Linked DNA regions of Macaca mulatta. The protein of the gene in region 1 interacts with the protein of each later gene in a biochemical or structural test. Links are inferred from orthologs where the notes say so. Each region holds a gene or a part of one and is shown on either strand. Other genes may lie near its edges.

Region 1 (9,877 bases):
TGTAACCTTGAACTCCTCGGCTCAAGTGATTCTCCCACCTCAGCCTCCTGAGTAGCTGGGACTACAGGGACATAGGTGCCATCATTCTGGCTAATTTCTCCATTTTTTGGAGAGATGGGGGGGGGTCTCGCTAGGTTGCCCAGGCTGGTCTTGAACTCCTGGCCTCAAGCGATACTCCTACCTTGGCCTCCCAGGCACAAGCTACGATGCCCCATCTGAAAATTGTATTGTGAGGTAAACCTAATATTATTACAAAAGCGCATAAAACTGGTATATAGAGTTTAACACAGTTATAAAGGGAACAACCCTGTAAAAATCCTTTAAGAAATAGAACACTGAGGCTGGGCGTGGTGGCTCATGCCTGTAATCCCAGCACTTTGGGAGGCTGAGGCAGGTGGATCACTTGAGGTTAGGAGTTTGAGATCAGCCTGGCCAACATGGTGAAACCCTGTCTCTACAAAAATACAAAAATTATCCGGGTGTGGTGGTGCATGCCTGTAATGCCAGCAACTCAGGAGGCTGAGGCAGGAGAATCAGTTGAACTTGGGAGGCAGAGGTTGCAGTGAGCCGAGATCGCACCACTGCACTCCAGCCTGGTGACAAAGAGAGACTCCATCTCCAAAAAAAGAAAAAAAAAAAAAAAAAGAAAGAAAGAAATATAACAATGACATGTTTATTTAACAAATGGAAACCACTACGGAAGCTTTTTGGGTCAGGCCAGTGGCCCCCAGGCTCTGCTTTATGGGATATGGAAGGGAGGAAAGTCTGTCCCTGGGGATTCTTCCTGAGACCTAGGGAATGAGGTTCACTTTCTTCAAATGAGCTAGGACAGGGAGGTGAGGATCATGGCATCCTGCCCCTTTCCCATCATAGGCTCTGGCCTGGCATCTGGCTATTTCTTACAATAATAACTCATGGTTCTCAACTTTGGTAACTACTGACATTTTGGGCCAGATAATTCTTTTTGTTGGGAGTGCTATCCTGTGTGTTGTAGAACATTTAGCAGCATCCCTGGTCCCTACTAGATACCAGTAGCACCCCCAAGTAGTGACACTAAAAATGTCTCCAGATGTTATCAAATGTCTCTGGACACAAGATTGACCCCTGTTGAAAATCACTGCATTTGGCCAGGCACAGTGGCTCTTTCCTGTAATCTTAGCACTTTTGGAGGCTGAGATGGGAGCATCGCTTGGGCTCAAGAGTTCAAGACCAGCCTGGGCAAAGATGGCGAAACCCCCTCTCTACAAATAATACAAAAATTAGCCAGGTGCGATGGTGCACACCTGTAGTCCCAGCTGCTTGGGAGGTGGAGGTGGGAGAATTGCTTGAGCCCAGGATACGGAGGTTGCCGTGAGCCGACATCGCACTACTGCACTCCAACCTGGGTGACGCGGCAAGACCCTGACTCAAAAAAAAAAAAAAAAAAAGGAAAAAGAAAAAAGTCAATGCATTCATAAATATTTATTATGTTCCATGCACACTGTTAACAGCTATACATATGTTACTTAATTCCTTCTTCCTGTTTGTCCCCATTTTGCAGATAAGAAACTGGGATTCAGCAGGATTAGATAAATTATTGAAATTGACACAGCTTTAGTGAATGACTGAGCTGAAGTTTAAACACAGCCTTATCAGTCCTCACTTTGTTTTTAACAAACATGTAAGGTTACCTCCCCAGATGTGGAGGGTGAGATATATTTCAGGTCTTGCTTCTCCCACAGTCTAAGGCTAGGCATTTCTAAATTTATAATTCCAGGCTTTTTACTAGACAGTTCCTTTTTATTTTCTTACCAACTGTATTAGTCCAGGTTCTCTAGAGGAACAGAATGAATAGGATAGACATATATATATATAAATGGGAGTTTATTAAGTAGTATTAACTCGCACAATCACAAGGTCCCACAATAGGCCTTCTGCAAGCTGAGAGGCAAGGAAGCCAGTTTGAGTCTCAAAGATGAAGAACTTATAGTCCAACATTCGAGGGCAGGAAACATCCAGCACGGGAGAAAGATGTAGGCTGGGAAGCTAAGCCAGTCTAGCCTTTTCATATTTTTCTGTCTGCTTTATATTCGCTGGCAGCTGATTAGATGGTGCCCACCCAGGTTAAGGGTGGGCCTGCCTTTCCCAGCCCATTGACTCAGCTGTTAATCAGCTCACTGCGACCTCTGCTTCCCGGGTTCAAACGATTCTCGTGCCTAAGCCTCCAGAGTAGCTGGGACTACAGGCGCCCACCACCACGCCCGGCTAACTTTTTGTATTTTTAGTAGCGACGGGGTTTCACCTTGTTGGCCAGGCTGGTCTTGAACTGTTGACCTCAGGTGATCCACCCACCTCGGCCTCCCAAAGTGCTGGGATTAAGGCGTGAGCCACCGTGCCCAGCCCTTTTTCCACTTTTAAGTACTCTTACGACAACACTGGGGTCACCCAAATAATCCAGGATAATATCCCTAATTTAATGTCAGCTGATTAGCAACCTTAATTTCATCTGTAACCTCAATTCCCCTTTGCCATGTAACCTAACCTATTCAGTCTCTGGGAATTGGGAAGTGGACATCATTGGCAGGTGGTATTCTTCTGCTTGTTCTAGGCACACTTGCCCACAAGTCTAAATCGAGAGTTTGCATATAGGAGGTAGGAGGTGTGACAATAATTGGATAAAGGCTTTTCTGGAATTACAAAATTCTCTTCAAATACAGGGAGGCCCTGCGGCATGATATCTGGCAAATCACTTGAGTCTTAGTATCCAAATTTCCGCTAAAATGGAAATTGCCATCCTTTGCTCGGCATATTAAATGAAATACTTATGTAAACGGACTTAGATTAGAGGCCTACAAATAGGACTCAAGTTCTTGATGAATCTTGATGAGGAGGGTGGGCGAAGTACTCTAAATGAAAACGAGATAGACTGAGAGATTTCCGGAGAGGAGTGAGTGACAAGCGCCTACCCGTGCATGAAGCTGGAGGTAGAAAATTCCAGCAAAAGGAATTTTCAAGTTTCATTGAAGCTTCTGAATTAAAGTTTGAGGGGCCAGGGTTAAAAAAAAAAAGGTAGTGAAGAGGCTCATTAAGACAACCCCCGCCAGGTAGCAGATAGTACCTCAAATGCAGTGGGAAATTTGTGAGTTCTTCATAGGCAAGGATTAAATTTTACATCTCCATGTTAATATATGTCATAGTTGTTCAATTACTTAGTGAACAAAAAAGTTGTTAAGGAAAAAAAAAAGCACCAATGCAGGTTCCACCGAGATTTGAACTCGGATCGCTGGATTCAGAGTCCAGAGTGCTAACCATTACACCATGGAACCGCCACGCATATGTAGTTGCCTTCGGCTCTCTGATCCTTAGACAACCCCGCCCCCATCCACAAACCCACCACTCACAGGCGGTCCCGCCCGGTTCCAGCGAGTCGCTTCCGGGCACGGTAGCTCGAGAAATAAGCAAGAGGCCACTAAGACCACGGTAGCTAGGAATTCCAGGACTCAGTTTCCCCTTTGAGCCTCCTTTAGCGACGAAAGTTTGAAGCCCCACGCATCGCGACTCTCGTGCATACCGCCCTTCTTGGGTTCAGGGACGGGGAGCCGCCCCCGGAAGTACTTCCCCTTAAAGGCTGGGGCCTGCCGGAAGTGGCGCAGCGGCAAGGAGGGGCTCTTCACCCAGTCCGGCAGTTGAAGCTCGGCGTTCGGGTTACCCCTGCAGCGACGCCCCCTGGTCCCACAGATACCACTGCTGCTCCCGCCCTTTCGCTCCTCGGCCGCGCAATGGGCACCCGCGACGACGAGTACGACTACCTCTTTAAAGGTGAGGCCATGGGCTCTCGCACTCTACACAGTCCCCGTTCGGGGACCCGGGACACACTCGGCGGACGTGCCGGCCACCCGTGCACTGATAGAGGCCTGCCTCAGCCCTTCCTTTTTGTGTGGTTCCGTCTCCTACCCAGCTCAGCTTCTCTCCTCCTCAGACAGGGGTCCCCATCACATGCCGCTCTCTGAGCGACCTCTCCGTGGGCCTTGGCTGGCCTCACAGCCCCTCCCTGCGTGTCCTTCCCCTGGCGGACTGCCTTCTCGCATATCGTCGAATTCCTTTCCCTGGGTTCTGCGGCCCCGCCGCCCCTCCCACCATCTCTCTTTTCGGGTGTAGCGCCCCCTCCCCCTCAGCGTACACCTTTCCCGGCTGGCGTCCTCTCCCGAAGCCCCTGTGACGGGTTCTTCGCTTCCCTCTTGGCCTTGCCTTCGGTGCAGACTCCCACTACAGGTCTTTTCTTATCTGCCCCCTTTCCCCCTCGAGCGAGCCTCTTTTCTGCATATCTCCTCCCCTTGTTCGGCCCCCCCTCTAAGCTTCTCGCATCCCGGGTCCAGGACCCGGTAAAATCTGAGCGGGCCAGGGGTCCCCACCCCCACCCTCCGCCCCGCGGTTCTCGCGGTCCTTAACCTTCTCTGACCGCTCCCTCCCCCACTCCCCATTTGGCAACTCTCTCTACCTTCCCTCCCCAGATCGTGTTTAGAGCTCCCTGGTCTCCGTTGCGACCCGGGTGGTGGGAGGGTAAGAGGGATCGACCATCACCCAGTCGCGCACTTGTCGCAGTGACCCGGCAGGCTGACATTACTTCCCACCTAGCCTTTTATTATCTTGCTCTCCCTACTCAGTGGCACACAACCCGGGATAACTCTTTACTCGGTTCGCGAGAAGAGGTTGCGGATGGGTGGTGGCTGTTATCCTTGCCAGACCTGAAGGCCCGGTTCCTGAGCAGGAAAGGTTGTGCGCTGCACAAATACTAGCTTGCTTTATCTCTATGGACTGGTTGCTTCCTGCTGCAACACTGGGAGGATCCAACAGGAAGGGAAGAGCCCTAGTTGGCCACATACCTTTCCCAAAAGGTTGGGGGTAGGAAGGAAGTTGTGTGCTCTTTTGGTCACATTAAATATTTATTATAAGGTACGGAAACATGTAGTGCCCTTGGATAGAACATATCGGAGGGTCAGGGTTGGTTAGAAAGAATTGCTTATTGGTTGAGTCCGGAAGGAATCCAATTTTTTTTTTTAGTCAACGAAGATAAAGGGTACATTTTTCAATAAGAAGAAAGTACAGTAGATGCTTTTATTGTTCAGTGAATGTACTCTCACTCTGATGCTCTTTCTCTGCTCCTGAATTGGGAAGGTAGCCATCAGTAGTGTGCTGAACAAAGATCATTACCACTGAGGAAGAAGCCATTGCTATTAAAGCTTTACTGTGGAGGGTGGAGTTTAAAGAGTGTTAAGCATGGTGACTGTTTCTGTCTTTGCCATTGGGTGCTAAGAATGATTGACTAAACCAAGCAGGAAAGATTTGTTTGCTTTCCCAATACTTTGCAAATCTTGTTATACTAGCCTGCTGTTGTACTCTTGTCGTCTCTTACGCCTCTGACCCAGAATATTCTATTGTATAGGGTGAATACTTTTGGTATCCCCCCTCCACCCCATGCTGGAAAGTACTTTCAGGGTACTTAGTTCATTTTACAAATACAAAACTCAGACCTGGATTACAGAAAGTATACTATAGCATACGTTTTGCCGAAGGTATCTGAGATGATGTGAAATTATTTGAATCTCTTGAGACTTTGGGGTTAAAGGGAGGTTTGTGTTTTAAAATATGGTATAATGGTAGTGTGCCTTTATAAAGGCTGTCTTTGAAGTAATTAATTCAGAACAAGATAGACCGTCAGGGTATTTCTCCTATTTGGTTTGAACTGGAATGTTGGTTATACAAGGTCCTTTTATTTTTTAACAAAGAATATTAAATATTCTGAATTGGCCTAAAGTATTTCAGCTTTTTGATTAGACCATCCTTCTAGCAACGATTGAGAGCACCGAGCTTTGGAATTAACGTAGATTTCGGTTTAGATCCTGACTCAGGTCTTATATTTACTATATGACCTTGGAAAAGTTAACTTTTCTGAGTCTCAGTTCTCTCATTTATGTAAAGGAAAATACCTGTCTCTTAAGATTGTTGTGAGAGTTAAATGAGACTATTTGTAAAATTTTAACCATGAGGACTCAATAAATGGTAATAATGTGAAAGAAGTTACTGTGGTTTTGTCAGTTTTTTTTTTTTTTTTTTTTTTTTGAGACAGGGTCTCGCTCTGTCCCCCAGGCTGGAGTGCAGTGGCACAATCAAGGCTCACTGCAGTCTCGGCCTCCTCAGGCTCAGGTGACCCTCCCACCTCAGCCTCCCTAGCTACTCTCTAGCTCCTAAGAGTAGCTGAGACTACAAGAGTGCAGCACCACGTCCAGCTAATTTTTTTTTTTTTTTTTGTAAAGACAGGGTTTTGCCATGTTGCCCAGGCTGGTCTCGCACTCCTGGACTTAAGCAATCCACCTGCCTCAGCCCCCGCCAAGTGCTGGGATTATAGGCGTGAGCCAGTGTGCCTGGCCTTTGTCGGTTTTTTGAACCTTAAATGTAGGTTCAACTACAACAGCGTTTAAATATTATTAAAAAAACATAAAACTGGAAACTTCTAATGCATTTTATTTTTCCATGGGTTATGGTTTCATTTTGTTGTGCATTTTGCTGTTTAAGATAGGGTATTAAAACTTCTGCTGAGGAGGATTTCTACTTTTTTGTTTTTGAGATGAAATTTCGCTTTTGTTGCCCAGGCTGGAGCTCAATGATGCGATCTTGGCTCACTGTAACCTCTGCCTCCTGGGTTCAAGCGATTCTCCTGCCTCAGTCTCCCGAGTAGCTGGGATTACAGGCATGCACCACCACGCCCGGCTAATTTTGTATTTTTAGTAGAGACGGGGTTTCTCCATGTTGGTCAGGCTGGTTTCAAACTCCTGATCTCAGGTAATCCACCTGCCTGGGCCTCCCAAAGTGCTGGGATTACCGGCATGAGCCACCGTGCCTGGCCAGATTTCTAATTTTTTAAAGCTCTTACAGGATATGAGTCACTTTTTTCTTTTTTTTTTTTTTAACTTCAATACTGATTATTTAGCCAATTTCTTATTTATACAAGTATCCTGCTTTAAAGTGAAGAATGATTTTATTTTAAAATAACTTTATTGTACAGAGATTTATTCACTGAGATGGACTGCAGCTGTTTGTACTTAGACTTAACCTAGCAAATGCAATAGTTGAGGAAATTGGAGTTAGTTTGTAACTAACAAGTTGAAAATAAAGGGATATTTTAATTAATAGGGGATGGAGTGGTCTAAATAGGAATGTAATGTGGGACGAGCAGTACAATTATTCTAAATTATGACCTTTATTTAAGCCCAATAGTGAGACTTTTGGTGGGAGGGAATTAGTTTTATTTTATTTAAACTTTTTATTTTTAAAACTTTAATTTTGTATTTACAAACAATGTGGTTAAGGCCCTGTGGGACGTAAGTAAGCATCAGTCATAATTTCTGTTTACAAATATTGTGTGGTAGGCACCAATCCAAAGTTACATTTTCTGAAAATACCTGGATACATAGTCTATTGCTTAAGACATTTTCTTTTCAATCACATTGGAAGTCAGTAGTAATTAACCGTCAGCTGATTGTCAGTATAAATTATCATGGAAACTTTGCTGTCTTGCATCTTGTTAGTAGTTTTTCTTTCACAAGTTTTGGTTGAGCAACTCAGATTCTGCTGAATCTGGAAAAACTTGTCTAGACTTGAGCCTTATTGTTTGCATTATATATATAATTCTTTCTCTCTCTCTCTCTCTCTCTCTCTCTCTATATATATATATATATATATATATATTTTTTTTTTTAGGCAGGGTCTCCCTCTGTTGCCCAGGCTAGAGTGCCATGGCACAGTCATAGCCCACTGCAGCCTCAAATTCCTGTGCTCAAGAAATCCTCCTGCCTCAGCCTCCCAAGTAGCTGGAACTACAAATGTACTCCACCATGCCTGGCTTCTTTTTTTTTTTTTTTAAGACTATCCTACTTACAGAAATAAAAATTTCTTTTTTGTGGAGATGGGGTCTCCCTACATTGCCCAGGCTGGTCTCAAACTCCTGGGCTCAAGGGATCCTCCCACCTTGGCCTCCCAGAGTGCTGAGATTACAAGCATGAGCCACTGTGTCCCACCTTGAATGCATTGTATATTAAAAACTTTTGAGGAGGTTGGACTGTATGAATATAGTTGAAAGAATAGAAATGTCTCGAAATTTATGAAAACCAGAATGAAAATTACCAGTTATTCTTTCAGGTGGTAACTTTTAGGGTTGAGGTACTGTCTTTGATGAATTATATTTTGGTCCAGTAAATTAGTTTGCAAGAGAAAGTATAAAACTAAATGTAGTTGAAGAAGCAGAAATTTTTAATTAAACAATGGATAATTAATATGTATATTCTGCTTTTATGCATTTAGCAGCTTGATATTTAGTATTAGGTATTTGCGATGATACTCAAATACGGTAGGTGTCTAGCTGATAACTTTTTTTTGAGACAGAGTCTTGCTCTGTCGCCCAGGCTGGGGTGCAGTGGCCGGATCTCAGCTCACTGCAAGCTCCGCCTCCCGGGTTTAGACCATTCTCCTGCCTCAGCCTCCCGAGTAGCTGGGACTATAGGCGCCCGCCACCTCGCCCGGCTAGTTTTTTGTATTTTTTAGTAGAGACGGGGTTTCACCGTGTTAGCCAGGATGGTCTCGATCTCCTGACCTCATGATCCGCCCGTCTCGGCCTCCCAAAGTGCTGGGATTACAGGCTTGAGCCACCGCGCCCGGCCAACTTTTTTTTTTTTTGAGACGGAGTTTCACTCTTGTTGCCCAGGCTGGAGTGCAATGGCGTGATTTCGGCTCACTGCAAAACCTCCGCCTCCAGGTTCAAGTGATTCTCCTGCCTCAGCGTCCTGAGTAGCTGGGACTACAGGCATGCGCCACCACACCTGGCTAATTTTGTGTTTTTAGTAGAGACGAGGTTTCTCCATGTTGGTCAGGCTGGTCTCGAACTCCCAACCTCAGGTGATCCACCCTCCTTGGTCTCCCAAAGTGCTGGGATTACAGGCATGAACCACTGCGCCTGGCCTAGTTGAGATAACTTTTTAAAACATTCATGAATTTTGAGTTATTTTCAGATTAGAGTGCTTTTTTAATAGTGTTAACATTAATTGGTTACATTAAGAAAAAAGTTCCCTTACTATCTTTATGATGGCATAAGGAGTTGAGATTGGTGAGATAATGAACATAATAATCATTAAAAGTGGAGGTCAAAAGGGAGGAAACCTAAACTTGAAAGTGCTGGAGTTGGCCAAGCATGGTGGCTTATGCCTGTAATCCCAGTACTTTGGGAGGCCAAGGCAAGTGGATCTTTTGAGTCCAGGAGTTTGAGACCCAGCCTGGGCAACATGGCAAAACCCCGTCTCTACAGAAAATACAAAAAATTAGCTGAGTGTGTTGGCATGTGCCTGTAGTTCCAGCTACTAGGGAGGCTGAGGTGGGAGGATCCTCTGAGCCTGGAAAGTCTAGGCTGCAGTGGGCCCTGTTTGTGCCGCTGCACTCCAGTCTGGGCGACAGTGAGACCCTGTCTCAAAAAAAGAAAGAAAGTACTGGAAGATTTTTTTTTTTTGAGACAAGTTCTGGCTCTATTGCCCTAGCTAGAGTATAGTGGCTCACAATCCAGGCTCACCGCAATGTCTGCCTCCCAGGCTCAAGCCATTCTCCCACCTCAGCCTCCTGAGTAGTTGGGACTACAGGCATACATCACCATGCCTAATTTTTTTTGTTTGTATTTAGTCATGTATTTTTTTGTATTTACTTTTTTTTCGTATGAGTGATTCAAAGGCCATTTCCTTAGCAAACATCCAGCCTTTTGTACTAAGAAGCAACAGTGAATGTATCCTATTGATAGTAGACTATTAACCGAAACTGAAATTTGACTTCATATCCAGAATGGTGGACCTTGGAAACTTAA
Region 2 (9,937 bases), on another chromosome or scaffold:
GCCGGTGCCAGATCTTGACCTCAATTTCTAGCAAATCCCCAGCCTAGAACAGCCTCTCAAAAATGCTTGCAAGTGTTAAGAAAATAATAATAATGACAAGGAGAGCGCCAGCAATTCTGATATTATGCCTACTCTGTGCAGATACTGGGCTAAGCCCTTTGTATGTATTAACTCACTCAAATCCCAAAATAACCCTATGGAATGGGGCCTCTGATCAGTTCCATTTGATGGATGAGTAAATAGAGGCCTAAAGAGGTTAGGGAGACTATGCAATACATCAGGAAGGCAACGCGGGGTCAGGGTGTTGAGCCATCATGTTACATATTTATCAGAGTCCTGCTCCCCTGGCATTGTAGACTTTCAGGGTCAGGGCAGTGGTGTGCCCCCATCCCTCAAAAATCTTCCTTCCTTCCTACTTCCCTCCCTCCCTCCTTCTTCCTTTTCTTTCTTTCTTTCTTTTTTTTTTTTTTTTTTTTTTTTTGTGGCACAGTCTCACTCTGTCACCCAGGCTGGAATGCAGTGATGTAATCTCAGCTCACTGCAATCTCTGCCTCCTGGGTTCAAGCGATTCTCCTGCGTCAGGCTCCCGACTAGCTGGGATTACAGGTGCATGCCACTACACCGGGCTAATTTTTGTATTTTTTGTAGAGATGGGGATCTCACCATGTTGCCCAGGCTGGTCTCGAACTCCTGAGCTCCAGGGATCCTCCCACCTCAGCCTCCCAAAGTTTTAAGATTACAGGTATGAGCCACCACACCTGGGCCATTGTCTCCTCTTTTCTGCTGTGATATCTAGGTCAACAAAGTAGGGAACTATCAGGGACTAACCTAATCCATAAATACCATTATTAAGTAACGTTCATACTTGATCCAGACTTCCTTAGTTTTTACCTAATGTCCTCTTCTTGGTTCTAGGGTCCCATTCAGGACACCACACTGCATTTGGTCATCTGCCTCCTTAGTCTCCATTTGGCTGTGACAGTGCCTCAGAATTTCCTTGTTTTGGATGACCTTGACAAATCTGACAGGTGCTAATCAGGTATTTTGTAGAATGCCTCTCGGTTGGGATTTGTCTGGTGTTTTTCTCAGGGCTAGACTGGGATTCCTGGTTTGGGAGGAAGACCACAGAGGAAAAGGTCTATTCTCACCACATCACACTAAGGGTATATGCCATCATCATGACCTGTCACTATTGATGTTGGCCTTGATCACCTTCTGAGACAGTGTGTGTTGGGTTTCTCCACTATACAGTTGTTCTTCCCCTCCCCTTTCCAAACTCTACCCTTTATAAGGAAGCCACTACACACCTCATGCTTACAGGGTGTGAAGTTATGCTTTACTTCCTCAGTGGGGCAATTATTAGCATATGTTATTTGGATTTCTTCTATACGAGAGATTTTCCTATTTATTTATTATTCATTTGTTCAATAATTTATACTATATATACTTCATTATGGCCTCATGGATATTTATTTCATACTTTATGACCTAGTATATTTTGGTTTCTGCAAAGCATTTGATCCTGGTATCCCTGGTATTCTGGGGGTAGGTGGTAAACTGTGGACAATCAGCTGTAAGTTCACTGAACTCCATATCTAATGAATGAGCATTATCCACCCCAGAGCACCAAGTGGCTAGGAAATCAATGCCACTGCCTGATTTTAAAGCAAATGAAATAGAAACAGTTAGAGTACACTGCATTTTGTAAGGGAGGCCCCCTCCACCACTGGAAAACAACGCTCCGATTTTGTAATGCATCAGGGGATATGATGGGTAGTGAGTAGAGATGCAAAGTATATTTCCACGGGTCTCGGTCAATACAGTGTGAGCAGAAAACCACCCCTACAAGTGCCTCGGGGCCCTGTCCATGGTCCTGCCCCGCATGTTTAACCAGCCTTGTGGATTCAGACACACCAAGCACTGCTTCTCCACAGCTGAGACTGACAGAGGTAGGATGGTAGATTCTCTTTCTTGACACATACAATGTGAGGAAATGAACAAGACGAAATTAAATGGAAATAAGGGCCAAGAAACAGGCTTATATTCCAGAAATTATTGACACAGATAACAGGCCCGAATGCTTCCACAAGCCAGGATTGTTAAAAGAAAAAAGAAAAAAAAAAAAAAGGAATTGTGTTACAGTAAGAGAGACTAAAAGGTGACAACAACCACATACACTGCACAGTCCTAGAGAGGAAACAGCAAAAATGGACATTTTGGGGTCAAATAGGGAAATCTGAAAAAGGTCTGCATATTAAACAAGATGAAAATTTATTGAAGCAGAAAAGTGATGATCATTTACCGGCAAAAAAATCAGGTTACAAAACAGTATGCACAGTATGATCTCATTTTCTGGAGAAAATTGGCATATAAGCATGGAAACAGCTGGAAAGGTCTGACAGAAGTGTCATCGAGGCGCTGCGGGAGAGATAGGACACAATACGTTTTATTTTGCTTGTCCCTATTTCCAGTTTTCTGCAGTGCATATCCACCGCTTCTGTAGTAATATCAGAGTATGTTTTTAAAAGAAAGAAATCACTGACGCTCCCCCAAGGGTGGAGAATCCCTGGCTTGGCAGAGGTTTCTAAAACAGATCCCTGGAGGTTTTGGTGGCCAGAAACTTAATATGAGTGGACAGTGCAGAGGCAGCCCCACCCTGAGCTGCGTGCATGTGTAAGGTCTTGGGGCTGGTACAGTCTTGGGTGGGCGGGGGGGCGGTCTGCTGGTCCAGCCCTTTCATGTTATTGCTAGGAAAACTGAATCACAGAATTAGGTGATGGCAGCTCCAGGGCCAGAAGCCAGATGTCTGGCTACTGGGTCACATGGAAATGGCCTAGGGCTTCAGGAACTGGGGTATTTGGCCTGGAGAAGGGAAAATGGGAGTAAGGAGCTAGGAAGGAGAGAAGGGGCATGAGTGCTATTTTCAAATATTTAAAGGCCCCGGCAAAGAAAAGAGACCTATGTGAGTCCCTGTGCAGAATGGTGATGACTAAGTGACGAGCAGGTCTGTCTCTAGAGTGTATGAGGGAGAAGGTTCTAATGGCAGGAACTGTCCAGCCGGGGGAGAAGTGGGTGAGGCTTGCTGGGCACGTGGCCGAGGTTGGTGGCCCCTGCCAGAGGTTGCTGGGAGACCCTTCCCACCACTGAGGCTCTGTGGTTCGGGGACTCCAGGTTTCAGCCAGAGCTGGTGGCTTCTTTACCCGCCCTGCAGCCTGTGTCCTGAGAGGAAGGAGCGGGACTCTACCTACACCAGGAGGCGGCTCAGCCTGCCCCAGATGGGAACCACCGGGAAAAGGGAAGGGTGTGGCTGGCCTTTAGGGAAGAAAGGTCATGGTGGCAGCAGGCAGTGCCCCTCAGCAGAGCCCCGCAGAGGGCAGTCTGGGCTCTCACAGGCACTGCAGTGGTGTTTCCTGGGGTGGGTACCTGAGTTCTCAAGCCCTGAAGCTGCCTCGCTCTCTTCTGCCCACCGCTCTCAGCAACTCACAGGTCCCGGCCCATGCCCAGGTGCCAGTGAGAGATAATTCTCCATCGTCTCTCACTGTCTGGTGACACGGAGGCACGGGTCCAACCTGGCCATCATCCAGCTTCCCCCATGTCCTGAAATGCCTGGTCTGACCTGTCCCGGGAACACAATGCCAGCCAGTGCCCATTTGAGGCCCATGGCCCCAGGCCCCCCATGCAGGGCCTGAGGCCTTAGATGGTCTTGGAAACCCACTTCTCAGGGCTTTTGTCTCCAGGGGAAATCCCTGACCATTTCAGCCAGGTGGGTGTTCTGTCTTCCCCTAAAGACAAAGTCCCCAGTCCCCACGCCGGTGCCACCAGAGGACTCTGGTGTGGTGATATGACTCCGTCCACCCTACTGGCTGCACCGACCCTCCGCTTCCAGCCCTGTTAACAATCTACGTAAGTCCTGCTTTCCCCAAATAGATGCCACATGAAAGCCCTCTGCTCAGCCACCACTCCCCGAGCCTGGCTCTGCTTGGCCTGCTGCAGCCAACACAGCCGGCTGCCAGCCTGGCTGCCCAGCAGAGCCTGAATGAGAGAGGTCACTCAGCACTGGGCCGGGAATACACGGTGGCCCCAGCAGACACCTTCTCCTGTGTCTGGGCAGGGTGGGTGCAGCCAAGGAGCCAAGGCTGCAGAGCACCCCTACCTGTCCCTTTCACCCCCTGGCCCGGCCCAGCAGAGCGTACACAGACCCTTGCATCTTGTTCTCCGCAGCTGGGGGTGGGGTGGGGAGCCTGGGACCAGATTCTGGTAGGTCTCTCCCCAAGACAAGGGTGGATGTGCAGACCGCTCAGAAGGACCTGCACGACCGAGGATGGAAGGTGGGCGCAGAAGCCACCCTGGGCGTGACGCGTGATGCTCGGGGCACAGGCGCCACGAAGGGGGGAAAGTGAGGGCTCGGCTGTGCCGGGGATACCCGGGGGACCGAGGTCCTGGGCTCCGGCGGAGGGAGGGGATTGGGAGGGAGGCCACTGCCTCGGGCCACGCGGGTGACCCGGCGGGAGAGCTGGGGGAGGGGCGGCGGGGCTGGGGGCTGGGCTGGGGTCCCCGGACCGGGACTGGGGTCGGGCCAGCTTACCTCCTCGCCCTGGCCGAAGCGCAGTCCGAGCGCCGCGACGCGTTCCACGCGCAGGAAGCCGTCGGGGTCGCGGCCGCACACCTCGAACACCTCGCGCAGGCGGCGCACGGAGCGCAGCAGAGCCGCGGGGGCGCCCGCCCAGCCCGCGCCGCCCGCCATCCGGGCCGGCCCGCAGCTCAGCCCGGACCCCTCGCCCGCCGCACCCGCCGCCCTCCCGCCGCCGCCATCGCCGCGCGCCCTCCGGAGCCGCCCGCCTGGGTCTGCGCCGCGCAGCCTCCGCCCGGTGGCGGCCGCGGCCGATCAGTGTCAGCAGCGGCGCCGCAGCCCCCGCCGCTCCAGAGGGGAAGGGAGGGGAGGGGAGGGAAGGGGAGGGGAGGGGAGGGGAGGGGGAGAGGGGAGGATAAGGGGGAGGGGCAACGGGGGAGGGGAGGGGCAATAGGAGGAGGGGGGGCAACGGGGGAGGGGACGGGCGGGGGCCGCGGCGAGAGCGGGAGGGAGAGAGGGAGGCGGCAGCGGCGGCGGGGACGCTGCAGACAAAAGGAGCCCGCGTCCTCCCGAGTGGGGCCGTCCACGCGGGGCCGGCAGGCGCAGCGCGCTGCCTACGGTCGCCTCCTCCGCGGCCTCAGTTTCCCTCCGCGTCCCGGAGCCCGCCCCTTCCCCTGGACACCCGGAGCCACCCGAAGGCCCCGCCCTGCCGGAGGATTCCGCAGGGTCGTGCCCCTCTCCGCTGCCCGTGCCCGCTGCCGCGCCTCGCGTCTCCCGAGGGGTCAGGATGTCCTGGGTGTCTCCTGCGTTGGCGCGTTCCGTGACTGCATTCATGTCGGAGGAAGCTGAGGCCCAGAGAGGTCGGACTCACTCTAGGCCACACAGCTCGCGATAGGCAGGGCTGGGATTCGCTCCCAGCTCTGGAGGGCTCTGGACTCCGCTCTTCACCTCGGCGCCGCGGTCTCCCGGCGCTCTACTCCAAGACAGCAGTTGTGGGGCCATCGGGCGGGGGGAGGGCACAGAGAGGAGGAGCAGGGAACTGAACCCCAGCCTGGACCCGGGACCCTGCGACAGGGAGGTGAGGAGAAAACCAGGATGAGGCCCAAGGGAGGAAAAGCGAGGCCCTTCCAGAGGCCTGCCTGTGGCAGGACCCAGGGCTGCCCCACGCCTGGAGGAGGCTTCCTCCCTTTCCCCGAGTTCCCACCATCACACCTCCCTGGCAGCCCGCATGCCCCAAGCTCAGAGAGTCCAGGACAGAATCTCTGTCCTGGTGGCTGCAGGCTCCAGGTCAGGACCTTGGCCTCCTCCCATTAGTGCTCAGCGGAGCCTCCACCCCAGCTTGTACTGACTTCCCAGCCGCGCTTCGGGGACCTGCAGGACCGGGCCGGGCTCTCCTCTGCTCTCCTCCTCCTTGCTGGGCACATCAGGTCTTTGTGGCAACGATTGGCCCCAAGCCAAAAACAGGCCTTGGTTGAGGCTACTCCCACCTGTGCTGTCCTGCTCAGCACTGAGGCTTCCCCTTCCGGGAAGGCTTCTCTGATGGCACTCTCATCTTGTCTTCTATCCTGAGTTCTAGGCCCTTCTTCCAGATGCCCAGTTAGTTCTTCATTCTCTAGTGGGATGCCCATTTTCCCTACCATGCTGGGAAGCCCTCCAGGGCAAGACATGTCTTAATTACCTTCAAGTCCCTGATCTCCAGCCAAGAGTGGGCCCAGAGGAAGCCCCACCCAGAGGGGATGGGCCCGCCCATTGTGTGAGGAGCCAGGAGCAATGTAGTGGGAGTCCGGGGTGAACTGCATGACCTCCCCTAGCTGGGCCTCGGTTTGTAGCTCTGTGGTCTTCCTGCTCAACCCTGAATATATCCTGCACAGGGACTGCCATTTGCCTTCTGATAGTGGGCGGGGCCTTCTTCTTTCCAGCCCTGGCTCCTGGGATGAACCTGGCTTTTAGCTACTCTCCTTTGACCCTTCGGTTCCTCTGAGAGCCATGAAAGGCAGCACCTGTTGGGAAGAGAGACCTGTGGTTCTGAGGATTGAGGAGTCGGAAATGTGTGAAAGCGGGAAAGGGGAGGCCTTGGGATTGGAGTGGGGGTATTCGGCTGAGTGAGAGCGTCTCTGCTAGCTGGATGCCCCTCAGCCGGATACTAACATATTTTAGCTGGTTTCCTCGCCTGTACAGTGGGGATAATAGTGCCTTCCTTTTAGAGCGACTGAAGATGAGAGCGAATCTAAGCAATGCTGCTTCCCCCGGCCTACCCTGCAAAATGGAGGTGGAAATGGAGAATAAGGACGGGCGGTTGGTAGGGAGAGACTGGCTGCTGGAGACTCAGCCAGCTCCCCGGCAAGGAGGTAGGGAGTGGAAGCTGGGGGCTGCTGCCTGCCCCTGGGACCCCGATATTAGTTCGTCCAAGGTCAGCTTGTGTGGTTTTCTCTCACCCAAGGGGCTCAGCACAGAAAGGAGATGGCCAGGAGCTGGGGCTGCCCCCTGGTGGGGGCTGCAGAAGTGGCTCTCCGCGCTCTGCCTGGCATTGAATGCCCCCTTACTGGGGACAGGGGAGCTGGAAGACTCACCCACTTCAGCTGGCAGAGGCGGGGACCTCAGGCCTGAGCATGAACAAATCCCAAGTGAACCAAGACAGGATCCCGCCATGAGATTAGCCAGTTCTTGTCAAAGATAGGATCATCACAAATTCAAAAATCCCCCAGGAGAGCTTTCCCTGACCCGACTCTCCTTGCCCAGGTCTCTGCAGTTTTGTCTCTGGTGGGCAATGGTTTGAAGGACACCTGCCTCGCCCACCAGTGGCACTGGGTCTCTTGCTCACCGCTGTGCTGCTGGGGCCAGCAAAGCACATCACAGGCATTCTTTCTGGGGTTGTCACGTTTTTGTGGCGCACCTATGTTGTGTCGGGTATGCTAGGATGACAGTGAAAGGGGAGCAGCCACTTGCTGAACTTGATGGGGACAGTCATGGCCCAGTGTGATCTACATTGAGGTCCCAGGCTCTAGGAGCCCAAGAGGGCCTGCTGAGTGCCTACCCAAAGGTCCCTCAGAGATGGTGAGATTTATGGAGTCCTTGGGTCCTTGGACGTGGACCTGGGACCACTAAGGCTCCCATCACCTTGATCGAAGAGCTCAAAGTGCAACCCCGAGCAGAAGCAGCAAGAGAATATCCATGTCAGGACCGGCTGCAGGACTGGGAACCTCAGGGTGAAGGGGGTTGCTCCAGGAAAGCAAGAGGTCCCCATGGATAGAGTGGGAAGGCGGGGAGCCTCCTTACTGTTCTCCACTTCCTCCAGGTGACCTCTGATTCTCCAGGGGATTTCCAACAGCTGCAGCAGCCTTGTCAGGCTGGAAATATACTGGGAAATATACATGGAAGGGACAGTTGGGATTCTGGCCCCTTCTCTAGGAAGAAACAAGTTTGATCAGGTCCCTCCCCTGCTGAAAACTCAATGGCCACCATTGCCTGAGCTGGCATTGTGCAGTGTCTTCATACTCTCCTGCACTCCTTAACCCTAGTGTGGGAGCATCCAGGCTCCCTACTGCCTCCCTCTGTTTAGTGGGTGGGAGGCCTCAATCCTACTCCATCCCAATTCCACTTTCTCTAATTCCTGTCCTTGTGTTGTGGAAGTGGCACTTCCTACAGGAAGCCTTTCATGACCACCCCCATCTTGCCCCCTTGACCACCTCTCTCATGTGCTCCTGCGGAGAGGTGAAAGTACAGACTGTGTAGCCCACTTACAGGTGCGGATAAGGCTGTGGTGAGAGTCAGTAAGTTAATACATACATGTAAGTGTCAGAACAGTGCTGCTGGTTAGTGACAGCTATTGTCCTTGTGACTATCCTTACCATCTCTTACCCCTGTTGTCTATCACTGGAGTATCTGGGAAACTGTATGGAAGGTCGTAGGAGTGACCATGAGGTCCCTGGTAGCAGGGACTATGTCCATTTCTCTCCTGATTTCTGTAGCTCCTAAATAATGCCCATACACACATGGTTAGGGTCTGTGTAGGAATACATTAAGGGATGGACAAATATGGTGTGGTAGCCTGAAAAATGCCCCCTTAAATGATATCTATGTAACAATCCCTGTACATCAGTGGTCCCCAACCTTTTTTGGCACCAGGGACTGGTTTCAGACAAGTCAGGGGAAGAGGATCTCGGGGTGAAACTGTTCCAACTTAGATCATCAGGCTTCAGATTCTCATAAGGGACATGCAACCTAGATCCCTCTCATGTGCCATTCACAATAGGGCTCCCACTTCTATGAGAATCTAATGCCACTGACCTGACGGAAGGTGGCGCTCAGGCGCTAATGCCCACTCACCCGGCGCTCACCTCCTGCTGTGGTTCCTGTCAGGCCATGGACTGGTAATGGTCTGTGGTCTGGGCATTGGGACCCCTGCTGTAAATGTTACCTCATTAGAAAAAGGGTCTTTGCAGATGTAATTAAGGATCTGGAGGCTGGGCGCGGTGGCTCACGCCTGTAATCCTAGCACTTTGCGAGGCTGAGGCAGGCAGATTGCTTCAGCCCAGTAATTTGAGACCAGCCTAGGCAATATGATGAAATCCTGTCTTTACTAAAAAATACAAAAATTAGTCGGGCATGGTGGCATGTATCTGTAGTCTCAACTACTAAGGAGGCTGAGGTGGGAGGATGGCTTGAGCCAAGGAGGCAGAGGTTGCCGTGAGCCCAGATCATACCACTACACTCCAGCCTGTCTCCAAAAACAAAACAAAACAAAACAACAAAACAAAAGCAACAACAACAAAAACAACAACAACACAACAAACTAGGATCTGGAGATGGGGGGTTACTCTGGGTTAGCGAGGTAGACTCTTAATGCAATCACACATATTGATAAGATGGATCAGAGGCAGATTTGACACATAAAGAGAGGGTAATGTGACCACAGAGGCAGAGATTGGAGTGGTGCAGCCATGAGCCAAGGAGCATCAGCAGCCATCAGAAGCTGGAAGAGGCAAGGAGCAGAATCCCTCCCAGAGCCTCTGGAGGGCCCACAGCCCTGCTGACGCCTGGATTTGGGCCTTCTGGCCTCCAGAACTGTTACAGAATAAATTTCTGGTGTCTTAAGCCACCAAGTTTGTGGGAGCTAGCACAGCAGCCATGAGAAATGAATACGGATGGTACAAATACCATGTGGAAGTTATCAAAGATTATTAAGAACCAGGCTTTGGAATTCAAAACAGCTGAGCTGGGCACCAACATCTGTTGCTCGTTTAGCCCCATGACTCTGGACAGGTTAATTTCTCTAAGCCTCAGTTTTTCTACCTTGCAGAGGTCCTCCAGGGTTTTAATTTAAAAAAGATTGTGTCATGCCTCGCCCAGTGCTTGGCACAGTACTGG

The links.
Region 2: the proteins of RAB11A (region 1) and RAB11FIP4 form a complex in vitro, tested with the Homo sapiens proteins (2 studies listed by BioGRID, with this or other methods). The link is inferred for Macaca mulatta from reciprocal best matches to the Homo sapiens genes RAB11A and RAB11FIP4.

The regions. Positions count from the first base shown.
Region 1 is NC_133412.1:43,314,814-43,324,690, forward strand, and holds the start of RAB11A (ras-related protein Rab-11A), read left to right. Parts: upstream 1-3,641; 5' UTR 3,642-3,758; coding exon 3,759-3,798; intron 3,799-9,877. UniProt on the Homo sapiens protein: The small GTPases Rab are key regulators of intracellular membrane trafficking, from the formation of transport vesicles to their fusion with membranes.
Region 2 is NC_133421.1:40,782,848-40,792,784, reverse strand, and holds the start of RAB11FIP4 (rab11 family-interacting protein 4), read right to left. Parts: upstream 4,819-9,937; 5' UTR 4,745-4,818; coding exon 4,586-4,744; intron 1-4,585. UniProt on the Homo sapiens protein: Acts as a regulator of endocytic traffic by participating in membrane delivery. Required for the abscission step in cytokinesis, possibly by acting as an 'address tag' delivering recycling endosome membranes to the cleavage furrow during late cytokinesis.